2 linked regions of the Rhinolophus ferrumequinum genome follow. The protein of the gene in region 1 purifies or fractionates together with the protein of each later gene. This does not show direct contact. Links are inferred from orthologs where the notes say so. Each region holds a gene or a part of one and is shown in the gene's direction. Other genes may lie near its edges.

Evidence for each region. Proteins that work in one complex are often made in the same cells at the same time.
Region 2: the proteins of RPAP2 (region 1) and POLR2E purify together in Homo sapiens (affinity purification with mass spectrometry; 4 studies listed by BioGRID and IntAct, counting the BioPlex papers as one, with this or other methods). This does not show direct contact. The link is inferred for Rhinolophus ferrumequinum from reciprocal best matches to the Homo sapiens genes RPAP2 and POLR2E.

Annotation. Positions count from the first base shown.
Region 1 is NC_046292.1:69,719,897-69,726,833, forward strand, and holds the start of RPAP2 (putative RNA polymerase II subunit B1 CTD phosphatase RPAP2), read left to right. Parts: upstream 1-3,930; 5' UTR 3,931-3,983; coding exon 3,984-4,056; intron 4,057-4,771; coding exon 4,772-4,817; intron 4,818-6,937. Other genes in the region: GLMN (glomulin), read right to left, coding at 2,343-2,468, 2,895-2,933.
Region 2 is NC_046301.1:61,883,737-61,890,679, forward strand, and holds the start of POLR2E (DNA-directed RNA polymerases I, II, and III subunit RPABC1), read left to right. Parts: upstream 1-3,872; 5' UTR 3,873-4,024; coding exon 4,025-4,081; intron 4,082-4,730; exon of another isoform or gene 4,731-5,241; coding exon of another isoform or gene 5,242-5,259; intron 5,260-5,795; coding exon 5,796-5,970; intron 5,971-6,943. UniProt on the Homo sapiens protein: DNA-dependent RNA polymerase catalyzes the transcription of DNA into RNA using the four ribonucleoside triphosphates as substrates.

The DNA of each region.
Region 1 (6,937 bases):
TAAGTGATTCTGAGAGTAATTAACTATAAGAGAAATTCCATATTTGAATAAGATTTTGCATATCTAAGCTGAAAAAAATAATTATGGTAAAATATTTTACAAACATAATCTCAGTTACAAGGAATCCAGTCATTATGTAAATAGTGAATAGTTAGTTATGAGGAAGGCAAATATCAACTATCTATAAGCTATACTGTTTAGTTTAATCTTAGCAACCTTACAGGGTAAGATTATTATCCCCAATTGACAGATGAGAATGCCGAAGTTTAGAGATTACTGACATGCCCAATGTCCAACAACTAAAATGTGGCACAGCAGGATTTGCATATAAGTCTCTCTAGCTCCAAAGCCCGTGCTTTCCCCACTATACCAATGGCTTTCAATGGGGGCAATTTTGATATCTACCAGGACATATTTGGCAATGTCTGGAGACATTTTTGATTGTCATTCCTGGGGGGGAGGATTGCTATAATATCAATAGTGCCAGTGTTGAGAAACCCCGCACTATAAGTATCTTAGGACAAACTATTCATATGGCTTTCTTTAAAAAAAACATTTACATGAAGTAGATTAATAGTAAATCTTGATCAATCTTGATTGTGTCACTGGCAAAAAAAAATAAGTTGCAGTCAGTTTTTAAGCATTGTCTTATCAATATCTGAACCTCTGAATTTAGCTGACCATATGTTACAAAGATGATTCTCAAGCTACTAAGACTAAGCCTCACTATTCTTAAATCTACCACAATCACCTAATCTCTAATAGTCATGCACAAATCTACATCTGAATCTCCTAGTTCTCTACTGAGCTCCACACTATTTTTCAATTACATACTGCATCTTAAACTCACCATTTCCAAAGTACACTTATTTGTCCTCCTTTAGGAAACTTCTCTTCTTAGGTAGCCGTTTTCTGTTTGGGATGTTTCTACCCTCTCAGAGGCTAGAAACCTAGCCATCTTTGATGTCTCACTCTCTCTCACCCCCACAATCAATGAGTTCCCTCTATTCTACTCTAAACCTTCCATGCAAGTGCTACATCGTGCTCACTGGAGGCAGAGCCGAGTGGATAAAAGTTCTAAAACCGAACTGCACAGGTCTGAATCCTGGATGCCGCATAAAATCTGTTACTTTTGGGCAAGTCACTTATCTTTCAGCGCCTGTTTCCTTATCTACAAAATGAATTTAACAGTAGTACATCATGGGATTCTGGAGAGGCTACATGAGTTAACAGATGTAAAGCACTTAAGACAGTATCTGACACATAGTAAATACTCAATAAATATTAGCTATTATTAATTTTATTATTACTAGCTAAAAGTAAGGTACTTTGAAAGGTTATCCTCTGAGAATGCAATTGGAAAAAATCAAGGAATTAAAGAAAACATTAAATTTACTTTATTTTGGGCTACAAAGGTACCATAAACACACCAAAAACAAATGTATTAAACAAATGTCCTAATTTTTCTAAAAATATTTTCTTAAATAAAAAAGGGATTGGCCCTTTAAACTACTAAGAGAATTTACAACAATGTGTGATTTAAAAGTTTTAGTAATTTCCCAAACACAATAAAGGTATCCTGGATATAATCACTGACCAGCACGTCTAGATTGTGATAGCAAGAAAGAAAACTTCTGTAGAAATAAATAGCACCATAAAGGAAGAAAAAGTGTGTCCTGGAAAAGAAGATGCTCCTCCTTTGTACAAGAAGCGGAGTCCAAAGACACAAAATTTGGCAGTGTTGCCAACATGTTTCTGAGAAAAAGCTGTTTCTGATCCTCAAAAGATCCTTTCCCATCGCAGAGAATGATTTATCAGACATTCGTAGCTGGATCATATTGGCCAAGTCATTCAGCTTTCCCGTTCTGATTTTATCTACTCAAAATATTATATACCCAAAATGTTATCTTACTTAATATTTGGTTTTCTATATACTTCTGGCTGGAGGAACAGAATGTGCAATCACCAAAAATTAATACCTAGCCTGCCTGATACTTATATTTCTCAAGGTAAATTCGTGACCCAAATGCTACTTGTGATGGTTCAACCAGATGTAATCCCTGCTCTCCTAAAGCACTTTACTTATACTTCAACTATAGCACTTATTTTATTCATTCTGCCTCCTTAATGCTAGTTGTTTACATGTTTGTCTCTTCCACCAGACTGTGAGTACCTTAAAGTATATAGTCCCAATTCCTTTTTTGTTTCTAGTTTCCTCCTGTGGAAATTTAAGTTAGTTGATTCTTAAATGTTTGATGGATAATGAATGGATGAATAATAGCATCGTGTGGATATTCTCTTCCAGGTAAAGGCTGAAAAGTTTGCACAAAGATTATACTTACCTTATTCTTTTCATTCTGAATAATTTCTAATAGCTGGTCTATGTGCCCTTCATCTATGCATCTTTGTCCTGCTAACTGAAATAGACCAAAATCTTCTTCTTTGAAGTCTCGCTCTTCTAGGATTTGCTGGCAAACAAACAAACAAAAACCAAACATGTTTAGGCAAATAAAAATTCAATAATGACTTGATATATTTTCTCTCTGAAAAAAAGGAAATCTGTTTAAATTGTAGGTAAGTTACACATAAACATACGTATGAAAATTAGGATTAGCCTAATAAATACTTTAGTGAATGATCCTGAAATCCACTATATCAAAGAAACCTTTAATAAGGATTAAGATTAAAAATTTTAAAGGTTATTTAGAAAAGTATGTCATTTGGAGAAATAACCCAATTGCCTTCCTGCCCTATCACTATTTATACATAGGTCAAAAAAAGCAAGGATTAAAGAAGATAAACAATTCGAGTGACTACAAATATAATTAAAAATAATCTATGCCCTTCTCATATTTTGAAAGATATTTAACTTTACAAAAAGAAAAATTACTTACACATCTCTTTATTACGGATTGAAGTTCCTCCACAGCCATTCCTCCTTATTTTTCCTAGCTTTGAGACTGAAATGTACTAACATAAAACACAGTTAACTATCAGAAATATTACATTTAAGTATTAATAAGTGATATTTCATTCTGATGAATTTTTAAATACAATAAAGAAAATGTAGTTTTAATGCTGAAATGCTACTACTAAAAGTAGTCTGTTAACCTAAGAAAAGTTTATTTAAAAAAAAACTATTGCACCTTTTCAAGTTTTCTTAAACACAGCTTTGCTTAGTGTAGTTTTGAAAGATACATCCGAAAATAAAAACCTCTAGAGCACTCCCAAAAGGACGGCAAATAGGGACTACACAAAGTGCATTGAAAAGGCAAAGTGTTTCATTTCTGAAAACATTTCCAAAAGGTGGGCCTAAAATCAATTCTAATCAACAGGGAATTTCTCATTTTTTAATGTCCTACTTGACAAAAATTGAAGTCAACACAACTCACCCAGAATGGGTGGAAGTTCAGATGCCCTCCAGCCCCTGTGTGACCAGGACATTTCCCTTAAGAAATGAAGTACCCAAAATAATCAATCCAGTCAGTGAGATCAACCGGCGGCGCTCAGGAGAACCCCGTTCCATTCCCGCTGGCCATCGTTTCTCCCAGCTTGAAGGCCCGGCACCAGCTCCGCAGGAAGGGCGCGCGGGTCCGGGGGTCCTCACCGCAGCGCGCTCCAGGGCGGACAAAACCCCAGCGCGCGTGCGGGCGGCATCCAAGGGAAGCCATTTCTCCTGATTCCTGCTAGTCGTGGCGCTCGGGCCTCACCACTTCGCCGGGCCTAATCGGCCGGCGGCACCGCATCCTCCGCGGCTCAAGGCCCGCCGCGAGCCCCCGCCGTCCGGGACCTCCCGCTGCGTCCACTTACCCGCCAGGACTCTTGCCCCTTTCAGCGTCCTCCTCCACCTCCTCTTCTGGCCGCGTAGGCCGCTCTCCGAGCCCCGCCCCACTCCGGTCGGCCCCGCCCCGCGCTGCGCAAGGGGAGGCGGAGCCTCAGGGGGAAACTCTAGGGTCGGACGCGATAGTCGGACGACGCTCTCCATGGCTGAGTCGGCCTGGCAACCCTCCGCGGGCCGCAAGGCTGGGGCCCCGCGCCCCCGCCGAAACGCCGCAGGTAGGCAAAAGAGCCTCTTTCCACGTTTTGACCCCGAGAACTGAGCCCCTACAGGGTTCTAGATTAAGGCGCGCGGGGTGCTCCCGAAAAGCTTTCTCGGGGGTGGAGGTCTTCGGGGACGGAGAAGGCCAAGAGCTTCCCACCGCCGTCCTCGCGCCCCCTGGGAAAGACCTTCGGCCGAACCCCCAAATCTTTACACTAGCGTTCCAAGATTTTCCCCCAGATGGCCTCTGAGGGAAAGGACAGTAGAGTTCCTGGAAGCCTAGAGCTGGAGTCGCCAGAATGGGCAAGTGAGCAGGGCGGCATCAGCCAGCGGTGTGCGGCTGCCGGTGAACCTCCCATCGGTCCTTCCATTTGTCCTGCGGCTTTGGTGCCCCTGTTCTCTGAGGTATTGGAGAATCACCTCCCTTCTTGCCAGGGAGTGAACATTTGAGGGCCGGAGAGAGGCTTCCCCTAAAAGTACCCAGATTTCAGATTTTTCACGAGTGCTTAAGTATGCATCTATGATACAGGAGAAAATTCAATCCCGAAGGAGATACATGTTAACCAGGAAAAATTTGGGAATAATTAATTTACAAAAACAAATTGGATTCCCTTCCCATTTCATTTTAAATATGTGGAAAAGAAGAAAAGATGATATACAGTTTATTTGGGCAGGAATCTGTTCTATAACCTAATGTGTGCAGACTTGACTAACTTTGTTTTTTAATTTTAGGTACTAAACAGACAGGTGCTTTGAAACAGCAAGATGCTTCTAAAAGGTATGAAAACTACTTGGACAACTGCATTCACTTAGCTGTTTATCTCATATTAATTGAACCATTTTTAAAAACAATAATGGGTGCTACCTTAGAGAAATTTATTATGAGAAGGGGAAGATCTGAAAGCACTATAAATTCTCACATAGACAGTTATATCCCCCTACTCCATGCTTTAAGAAAACCAAATCAGACATTTTTAGGTTGCTGGTGAAGGTGTATGAGTATCTGTAGAAAGGTGTACATGGGAATAGACGTTCCTGAATTAACCAAGTACTCTTTTTCCACCTCTTTGTATACTCCTTTTTTTGCTTTATGTGTTAGAGACTCCAAGAAGCCTTGTCTGTCCCATGTTTGTATCATGTCCAAATTTTCAACAAGAAGTTGTCCTGTATTGTCTCTTGGCTTCTAAAAAGACAAGATTTATCTTCTGTCACAAAATGTTTCTAGAGTAGGAGTAGTCTGAGATGATTAAAAAATACATACCTGTGATACATCATTTTATGAAGTGTTGGCTTTGTCTTAATTCAATTAATCTTTCAAAAATATTTACTGAGTGTAAGATATACCAGACTTGTATTAGGCCCCAAGGATATGGTTTTGAACAGAATAGACATAGTTAACTAGTTGAACAGAGAAATACCAATTAAATTATCAAAAATAGATATATAATTACAAATTGTAATAAGTGCTGTAAAGGAGGAGGAGTAACAGGAGTCCAGGTTAGCTGGAGTTTTGTGGGTTTTTAGGGAAGGACTTTTGAGAACAGAATAAGCTGAGTCCTGAAGGCTAAGTAGACATTAATCAAAGAGTAGTAAGGAGAGACCTATAGTCAGAAGTGGGAGTACGTGTGACAAGAAAGGCACGGTCATTTAAAGAAAGCAGAGATGCCCAGGATGATGTGCCAGCATTCTGAGCAAGGGAAGTAAGGAGCATAGGAAAAGGTTAGAGAGGCAGGATTCCATTCATATAGACCTAATAGGCAATGGTGAGAAATTTAGATTTTCTAAGTGCAAATGGAAAAACTTTAAGTAATAAAGTAATGGAATTTAAGTTTAAAAAGTTTTAAGGTGTTAGGGGAGGTGATCATCTGGGAATGGAGAAATTGGATGAATTGGAGATCTGTTTTGGAAAGTACAGGCATACCTGGGAGGTAGTACGTGTTCAGTTTCAGACCACCACAATAGAGTGAGTTTAGTTAATATTGATAATGATGGTAATTTGCAACTTTCTTCAACACTGATCTGACCACAAACCTGAAGAGATTATATTTTATTTTGAGCAGATCATTCAAGATGATGAAACAATTAAAAATCCATGGGGTAACCAAATAGTTGTTGAGGGAAACGATCCTTTATAAATTTATTCCAATTGCAAAATACTTCTATATTCAATCCAAATGAATAGTTTTAAGCCAGAAATTAAAGAACTTTGCAAAAATATAAAATAATTCCACTATTCACACTAAATATTTTATTTTAATTTTTTATTGGGGAATATTGGGGAACAGTGTGTTTCTCCAGGGCCCATCAGCTCCAAGTCGTTGTCCTTCAATCTAGTTGTGGAGGGTGCAGCTCATTGGCCCATGTGGGAATCGAATCAGCAACCCTGTTCAGAGCTCGCACTCTAACCAACTGAGCCATCTAGCCGCCCCGACACTAAATTTTTATTTCAAAATGTTAACATGTAAATTGTATATTATTATTAAATGAATTAATAAATAAATGGTTTAAAATTTTCTCACTTTTAATCCTACTGTGGTAAATATAATGTACATAAGCAAAAGCTCGAATTTTAAAAGTACCAGGTCTGCCAGTTAAGTTCGCGAACTTGCCACTATGCACTTACATTGGCAGCATTGTACAAAGAGCTCAGTAAGGTTTCATAACTTTAGTATATCAGTGTCTCACAGCTGTGTTCATGTCGACGTGTGGCGGTGTCTTGCTAAGTGGCATTCATTATTGTTGTTGCATGTTTTTGTGTGCCATCTCGCGAATGTCTGTGCTTGAATTAGAGCAATGAACAAACATTAAATTTCTCGTTAAATTTGGAAAGAGTGGAAGTGAAATCAGGGACATGTTAGTCGAAGTTTATGGGGATAATGCTATGAAGAAAATTGCAGT
Region 2 (6,943 bases), on another chromosome or scaffold:
GCTCATTTACAAGCTCCTGTTAGATCAATTAATTCAGTTTGGTGGGCTGATCTTATTCAAGTAAATAAGAAACTCAAATCTAGGTTTACCATGGAAGCTATTGCATATAGCATAAGAATAAATCATCCATATATTATTGGATTAGAGTAGAATTTCTGGGAAATTCAACATTATTCAAATCAGCTTTTAGTATCTGAGAGAAATAGGTGTACACCCCTGGGATATTACTGTCCAAGTAAACTCTGATCTTCCCAGGTGGAAAAGCAGAGATAGTTCCTGTCTTTTTCTTTTTCTTTTTTTTTTTTACATGAATACTGAAAAGGGTACTACATAAATCTATCACTGAAAATATTGGCAGTACACACAGGAATAGCTGATAATAGGGTATGTGGATTTGGAACCATAGGATATCTATTTAAAGCTCTGAGATCCTGTGCAAATCTCCATCCTTTCCCATTGGGTTTCTCTACTGGAAGGATAGGAGAATTACAGGTGCTCACACCTGGAATGATAAGCCCCCCGTTAAAGGTAATCTTGTATAATGAGCTAATTCCAGCTGGTGTATCAGGCTTCAAAGGATATTGGCAAATAATTAGGTAGAGGCAAAGAACTGTCAATAGTTACTTTAATGGGAGTGGCTAACTTAATATTGCCAATCAATATCTGTACTGGAGAAAGCCTAAAATTGTATTGGAACATCCTGTAACAAACACTCCGTCAGTATCAAGACTAGTTTCCTCTCATATTGTTTCTTTTAAAATCATTATTTTCCCATTCCCAATCTGATTCATTTAGTCCTAAATACATTTCATCCTTCTGGGAGGATATGTGAGTATCATTGGTGACAAAGTCTCACACTATCAGGTGAATTGGGGCAGATTTGAGTAGTAAAAATAGATGTTGCCACTTAACATTTCCTAGCTAGAGAGGAATGGGTTCTGATTTAAACAGACATTGGTTGATTAGATGTCCCTACCATTTGTACAGAAGCTTTACTCCAAGGGAGAGGGCAACTTAGCCTGGTGGTGTTAACAGAGAAAGTAGCCCCAGTGTTAGTAAGAAGGGGAAAAGCCCTCATAGTCCTTGGAGCAGCCCTATGCTCGCTTCTATTTCTTTTATTTTTCTTAAACCTATTTTAGTTTCCTACAATCCTTAAGGTAACTTGTCTTTTTACAATAAAAGCAGATTCCTCTACAGTAGTTTCCCTAGCAAAATTTTAACCGCGGATTCCCTTCCCCTCCGCCCAAGACCAGCTCCTCTCCAAAGGGAGCTGGAACAGAGTGGCAGAAGACAGATGGAGGAAAAGGCGAGCAGGTGCAGACAGGTAAAGCACACAGTGGGACAGTCGGAGGAGAGGGCAAAGTGCGGTGCTGGCACTGAGCAGCTGCAGGAACCTTCTTCAGTTTTGAGACGGTATCTAAAATTTCCTTACTAACTTCCTGGAGAGAAGACTGTCTCTCTATTCCATTTCAGAGGCTTCTTTCTATTTGCCAATTGAGGTAAGCATCCCATTCCATTTAGTTTGGTTTTTAAGCCGGCTTTTTCTAATTGTGCACAAAAAATATTAATTTAGATGTCGAAAGAGCTCCATTTTGGCCATCTGAAGTTGATATCACTTCTAGTTAAACCTTTCCATGTCTGTAAGTACTTGCAAGTAGACTCCCTAGAAACTGTACATCTGCAGGGGAATTAATGGAGGTGGGGTCTGGGAGCTTGTCAGCCTTAGAGGCACTACTTCCCACGTTAATTTTTAGTTTTCTTTTGAGATCTGCAGAGTCTGCACAAATTTCTAGTGATATTGTGTAGTGAGTTCAAGTGTGCTGCTTATGGGTGGAGCTCCAAGGGGCTGTTACCTCCCGAGTCGCTCCAACCCTCTTATGTGCCTCAGTTTCTCTCCCCAGCTGTCTAGTACAACCATGAGGACTCGGAGCGCTAGGTAACCAGTCTTTATGTGCGCGTCCCCGGACGAGTCAAATATTTAATTGCAGTTGTGTATTTAATTGTGCATTTAGTTGTGTATATAAATGTGCAAATATTTAATTGCAGTGGCCTCTGAGGCCACTGCATGTTTTGAGGAGTACCCCCAAACACCTCCACAAAGATTCTTAGTCACCTAAGAATACCCGAAATTCGAGCTGGAGGGAGTAAATGCCCCTTATCTTCGGAGTTCAACAAGTTCAGACTCTCATTTATCCAGCAAAAAGTTTTGTTCAGACTCGCAGTAAACAATTCCAATTGAAAAGCCAAAATTAAAACCAGCCACCCATTTTTCCCTCCTGTCCCCAAGTTATCTTAACTCTTTATCCTTAACCTGGGTTATCTCAACCCTTAACCTTTAACGCCAACTCGAGGTTTAAAATACAAGCAAACAAACAGCTCAAATAAAGTCAGGACCTCCTACCTTAAAACAGGAAGGTCCAAAATTCCAAGAAAAACTCACTCAAGTTCACCCGATGAGAGGCAGGGAGCCGGTGGGGCACAATGGGCTCTGCTGGTACCGAGCACCGAATCCTGGTCCGCAGGGTGGTCCTGGGTGGGTTTCTTTGGAATCCTGCTGACTATGCAAAGAAATGTCAACGAAAAACATCCAGAAAGAAAAAGCCTAAGAAAAAGCTTATAAGAGTGTACTTGAGTCAAAGTGACGACAACTGCTGGGAAGTAAAATCTCAACGGACTAAGAAAATGCTCCGCGAAATGGCGGATTGCAGCTTGTTTTATACAGAGAATCAAAGGAGGAGGGTTACATGAAATCCACTGGTGGTAGATTAAGGAGGTGGGAGAAAGCAAAGCGGGGAAATCTCTGGGATTGGATAAAAGTAAATTCGAGAGACAGGTACTTCTTTCACATAGGTGGGTACAGGACAGTTAATAGTTCTCATAGAGATGTTAACCAAGGGACAAGAATAATAATGAGAGATCGTGTACTTTCCTGCTCTGGTCCGGAAATAGCAATTACTGACATTCCAAGGATGTCATCTTAGGTGCAAAAAGACAATAGACAGGTCCTCTTAAAGGCACAGATGAACTTTATGAAGGAAGCTTTTGGCTAAAGATACGACTTCCTGCCATGGCCCACTTAGTTACGAAATTATTTTTATGCTCACGCCATCTTATGTGGTTATTTTCAGTCTCCTGAACGTGTCAGGTTTAATGTGTGGCCCCTTTTCCGTCCACAGTCTATTATGTTCACTGTCTATACTCTCCCTGGAATGTAAGGGGGTGCTTGGCTTCTTCCCTGCCCTGTGGTTGGCGGTATCTGATTGAATGAATGTATCAATGAATGAGAAGTTACTCATGGCCTCCTAAGTGTCAGGGGCTGGGCTGCTGGCTGAGCTTCCTGTATGAACTGGGTGGTGGGGTATCCAGGCAGAGGCGGGCTGGGGTTCAGGGGACGAAGTGGGGAGGACAGAGGTGGGAGCCCAACATAAGCACCAGGAGCTATACCAACCTCCCAAGCACGGGAGCCCCTTTAGATCCTCAGCTAATCCTCTAAAATGGAGACATTTTATAAATTCCAATGTACAGACAGGGAAAAATGAAGCTGGGGCCATTAGGTTGGATGTGATCAAGAGGCAACTAAGAGGACCCCCTACAGTTGGATGCATAAATATTTATGTAGCGTCTCCTAGGCCACCCATCCGTTCCTGGGAGGAGAGCAGACCCCCGATCCCATCCGGGCCGCAGTTTCCCCGCCCTCCGTTTTTTCGCTTCTGCCTGTAGGGATTCTAAACGGCCGGGACGTCCCGAGGCGGGCGTTGAGCGGAAACTACAACTTGCGCCCAAAACCACGCGAGACCTTCCGAGGCGAAGGTGGGCGACGCCATTCGCACGTCTCTCGCGCAGCCAACCATCTCTCTCGAAAGGTTCGGGTTGCCCTTGGCGCTGCTGCTCCCGGAGGTCGCTGCGTTCAGGCGTTCGCTGGCGACAGCCCTGAGCTGAGTGGGGCCTGACCGGGGCTGGGCGCAGGCTCAGTAGGCGCGGGTCCCGCCGGGCGCAGACGCAGTGAGTGTGAGTGGCGGCAGGCATGGACGACGAAGAGGAGACCTACCGGCTTTGGAAGATCCGCAAAACCATCATGCAGGTGAGCGCGGAGAGGGCCGGCCTCGCTGCGCCAGGCGAGCCGGACACGCAGCGGTCCGGGGGGCGGACGATGAGTGCAAAGGCTGCAAACGGGAACCAGCCTCCACGACCCCCGCCCGAGCGGGTGGAGTGGAGGAGTTGGACCAAGGCGGCTCCCGGGGCTGCATCGAGGGTCTCTGCAGGCCTAAGGGACCCCACAGACCCGCGCGCGGCCCAGTCGTGAGTCCGAGGTGCTGGAGTCGGGTCTGTCTGCCTAGGATGTTCGCCCTCTCCGTGTCAGGGTCTTGCGGACGTAAGAAAGGTCCGAACGACTCTGTAGAGAATATTTGGAAGAGTTTATTTGACGACATGCCAAGAAGCAAATCCTTCGATCCCAAATGCTTCGAGTTCTGCAGTTTCTTTTGTGCATTTGGAATTAAGGAGGGAAGGTGAGGAAGATGACAGGGAGGTGGGAGAAAGCCAGGTGGAACTGGATTAGGGAATAGTTAACGAGATTAACTCTTTGTGAGGGTGGTAACGCTGATTTCAAAGGTGTGTGAACCTAGATGCACATGAACAATGGACAGGCCAAGACAAGCCTTTTACTAAGAAAGTTATACACCTGGGTGTGACCACCCCCCGTGACCTTCCCAGTTAGGGGTTTAGGATCAGATCACCCTGTGAGGTTAACTTCCCATGGAAGCCAGTTTTCACCCACTGCCTTACTTGAGCTGGAGAGAGAGAGAGACAGTACACGAAAGACCACCTGGTCTTCCACTTGTTTACTTCCTGGAATCCTCCAGCATTACCCCACGTACGTGACACAGAATCCCAGTCTTGTGGGGTTGGAAGAAACCCGGGTCAGCTGATCTGACCTGCCATCCAGTGCAGGCATATCTCTCAGACCTGTGTCCGGTGGCTACTTCAACGCCTCAGCCAGCAACTTGGAGTTACTCTAGATACTAGAGTGACAGCAGCCAGCTGGCTAAGCAGTCACTATATGCCACATACTTTAACCCACCCCACGGAAGAGGCCAGGGTGATCCTCGGAGGCCCACGGAGGTGTGGGGTCTTGACCAAGATCACCCAGCGGCGCAGGAATCCTGCCGGGACTAAACCTGCGCAGCCGCACCCCGCCTCTCCACCGCTTTGTGAAGCTACGACAGACAGGGACCAAAACACATGTGCTTCAGGCTGACGGTGGGTGTTGGGGATCCTGAGAGGGAATCAGGCTGTGGGGACTTCACAGAGGAAAGGGGATGGGTGTAGGGCTGCTCTCTGACCTCCCCTTTCTTCAATGGGTCTTCTAGTCAGCCCATTCAAAGAGCCCCGATTTCTGAGGTGAGACCCAGAAGTGCCACCCTCAGAGCCCCTAGAGTCTACCCTTCCCACCTGGCTGTCTCCCTCTGCCCCAGACCCCAGGGCTGGCTCTGGCCTCAAAGAGCCCCACCTTAAGTCCCAGCCCTACTGCTATTTGCTCCCCAATTACGGCTGCCCCGAGGTTCAGCATAAAATGACACTATGGACGGCAGCTTGTAACCGGAGCAGTGCAGGGGCAGCCTCAGAGGCACCCGGTCTTTGTCCCCACCTGCCCTGTCCCTCTTCTCTGGCCTCTGCACACACCTGCCACACGGTCCCAAACTCCCTGCGTCATCCTCACGGTGGCCTCATCACGCCCAGGCTCTTGCTGCACTTCCCCCTCTGCCCTGGGGTCACCTGGCTCTTTCTGTCCACAGCTGTGCCATGACCGTGGCTACCTGGTGACGCAGGATGAGTTGGACCAGACGCTGGAGGAGTTCAAAGCCCAGTTCGGGGACAAGCCAAGTGAAGGGCGGCCGCGGCGCACGGACCTCACAGTGCTGGTGGCCCACAATGATGACCCCACTGACCAGATGTTTGTCTTCTTCCCAGGTGAGGGCCTTGCCAGTGCCTGAGGTGTCATGGTTCTAGTCGGGCCAGCCGAGCGGCAGCGCAGGGTCCAGCTCATCGCAGCCCCCTGCTGTGTGACTCAGAGTCAACGGTGGCCCTTTTCCTTCTGCCTACCCTGAGGAGAGAGCTCCTTCATGCTGTGGGTGATACCACTGACCTCTGACCCCTCCAAGAGCCTTTTCCAGTTTCCTCCTCAATCCACTTCCCCATTCTCTCTTCCTCAGCCATTTTCTCCGACCAGGATTACCATAGACCTTCCCGCCAGGGCCCCAACCACTCCTGACCTCAGACCCACTCTGTCCTCTCTGCCCCACCTCTCACCTGTGAGTGCAGCTTCCACTCCCACCAGCTCCTTCCTGCACTGCTGCTCACGGCCCCCCGCTGAGCCCCAGATTGAGTGACGAGCCCACTTAGGGGTGTGTTGGGGACCCCTTGTTCCTCTGTCTTAGTGTCTAACCCGCTGGTGTCGACTGGCTCTAAGGCCTGCAGAAGTTAGGGGCCAGCAGTGTCCAGCATCTTGGGGCACCCTGCACTGAGAATCAAGGGGCTGGGCAGACAGTGTTTGCAGAGCGGAACCTTGTCGCACTTTTTCAGAAAAGTGTCCTGTGTATGAGATGTGGTTATTGAAGCCCTTGGTGCCTACTCATTGGCGTCCCATGGAGCCATCTGCAGACCTTCAGGGCCAGGACTAGGAGGTTTGACGGCTCTTGTGGGTCTTTGGTGATGCTGGGGCCACTGGCCCTGGGACGTGCTGCAGAACAGGCTGATGCTCCTGCCTGTGTTGGTCTGCTTCAGCTGCCATAACACCAGCACAGAACAACAGCCATTGCTTGTCCCTGTCACTAGAGGCTGGAAGGCCAAGATCAAGGTGTCCGTTGGGTTGCTTCTGTCTCAGGCCTCTGGCCTTGGCATGTAGATGGCATGTCTTCCCTGTGTCACCACAGGGTCATCCCTC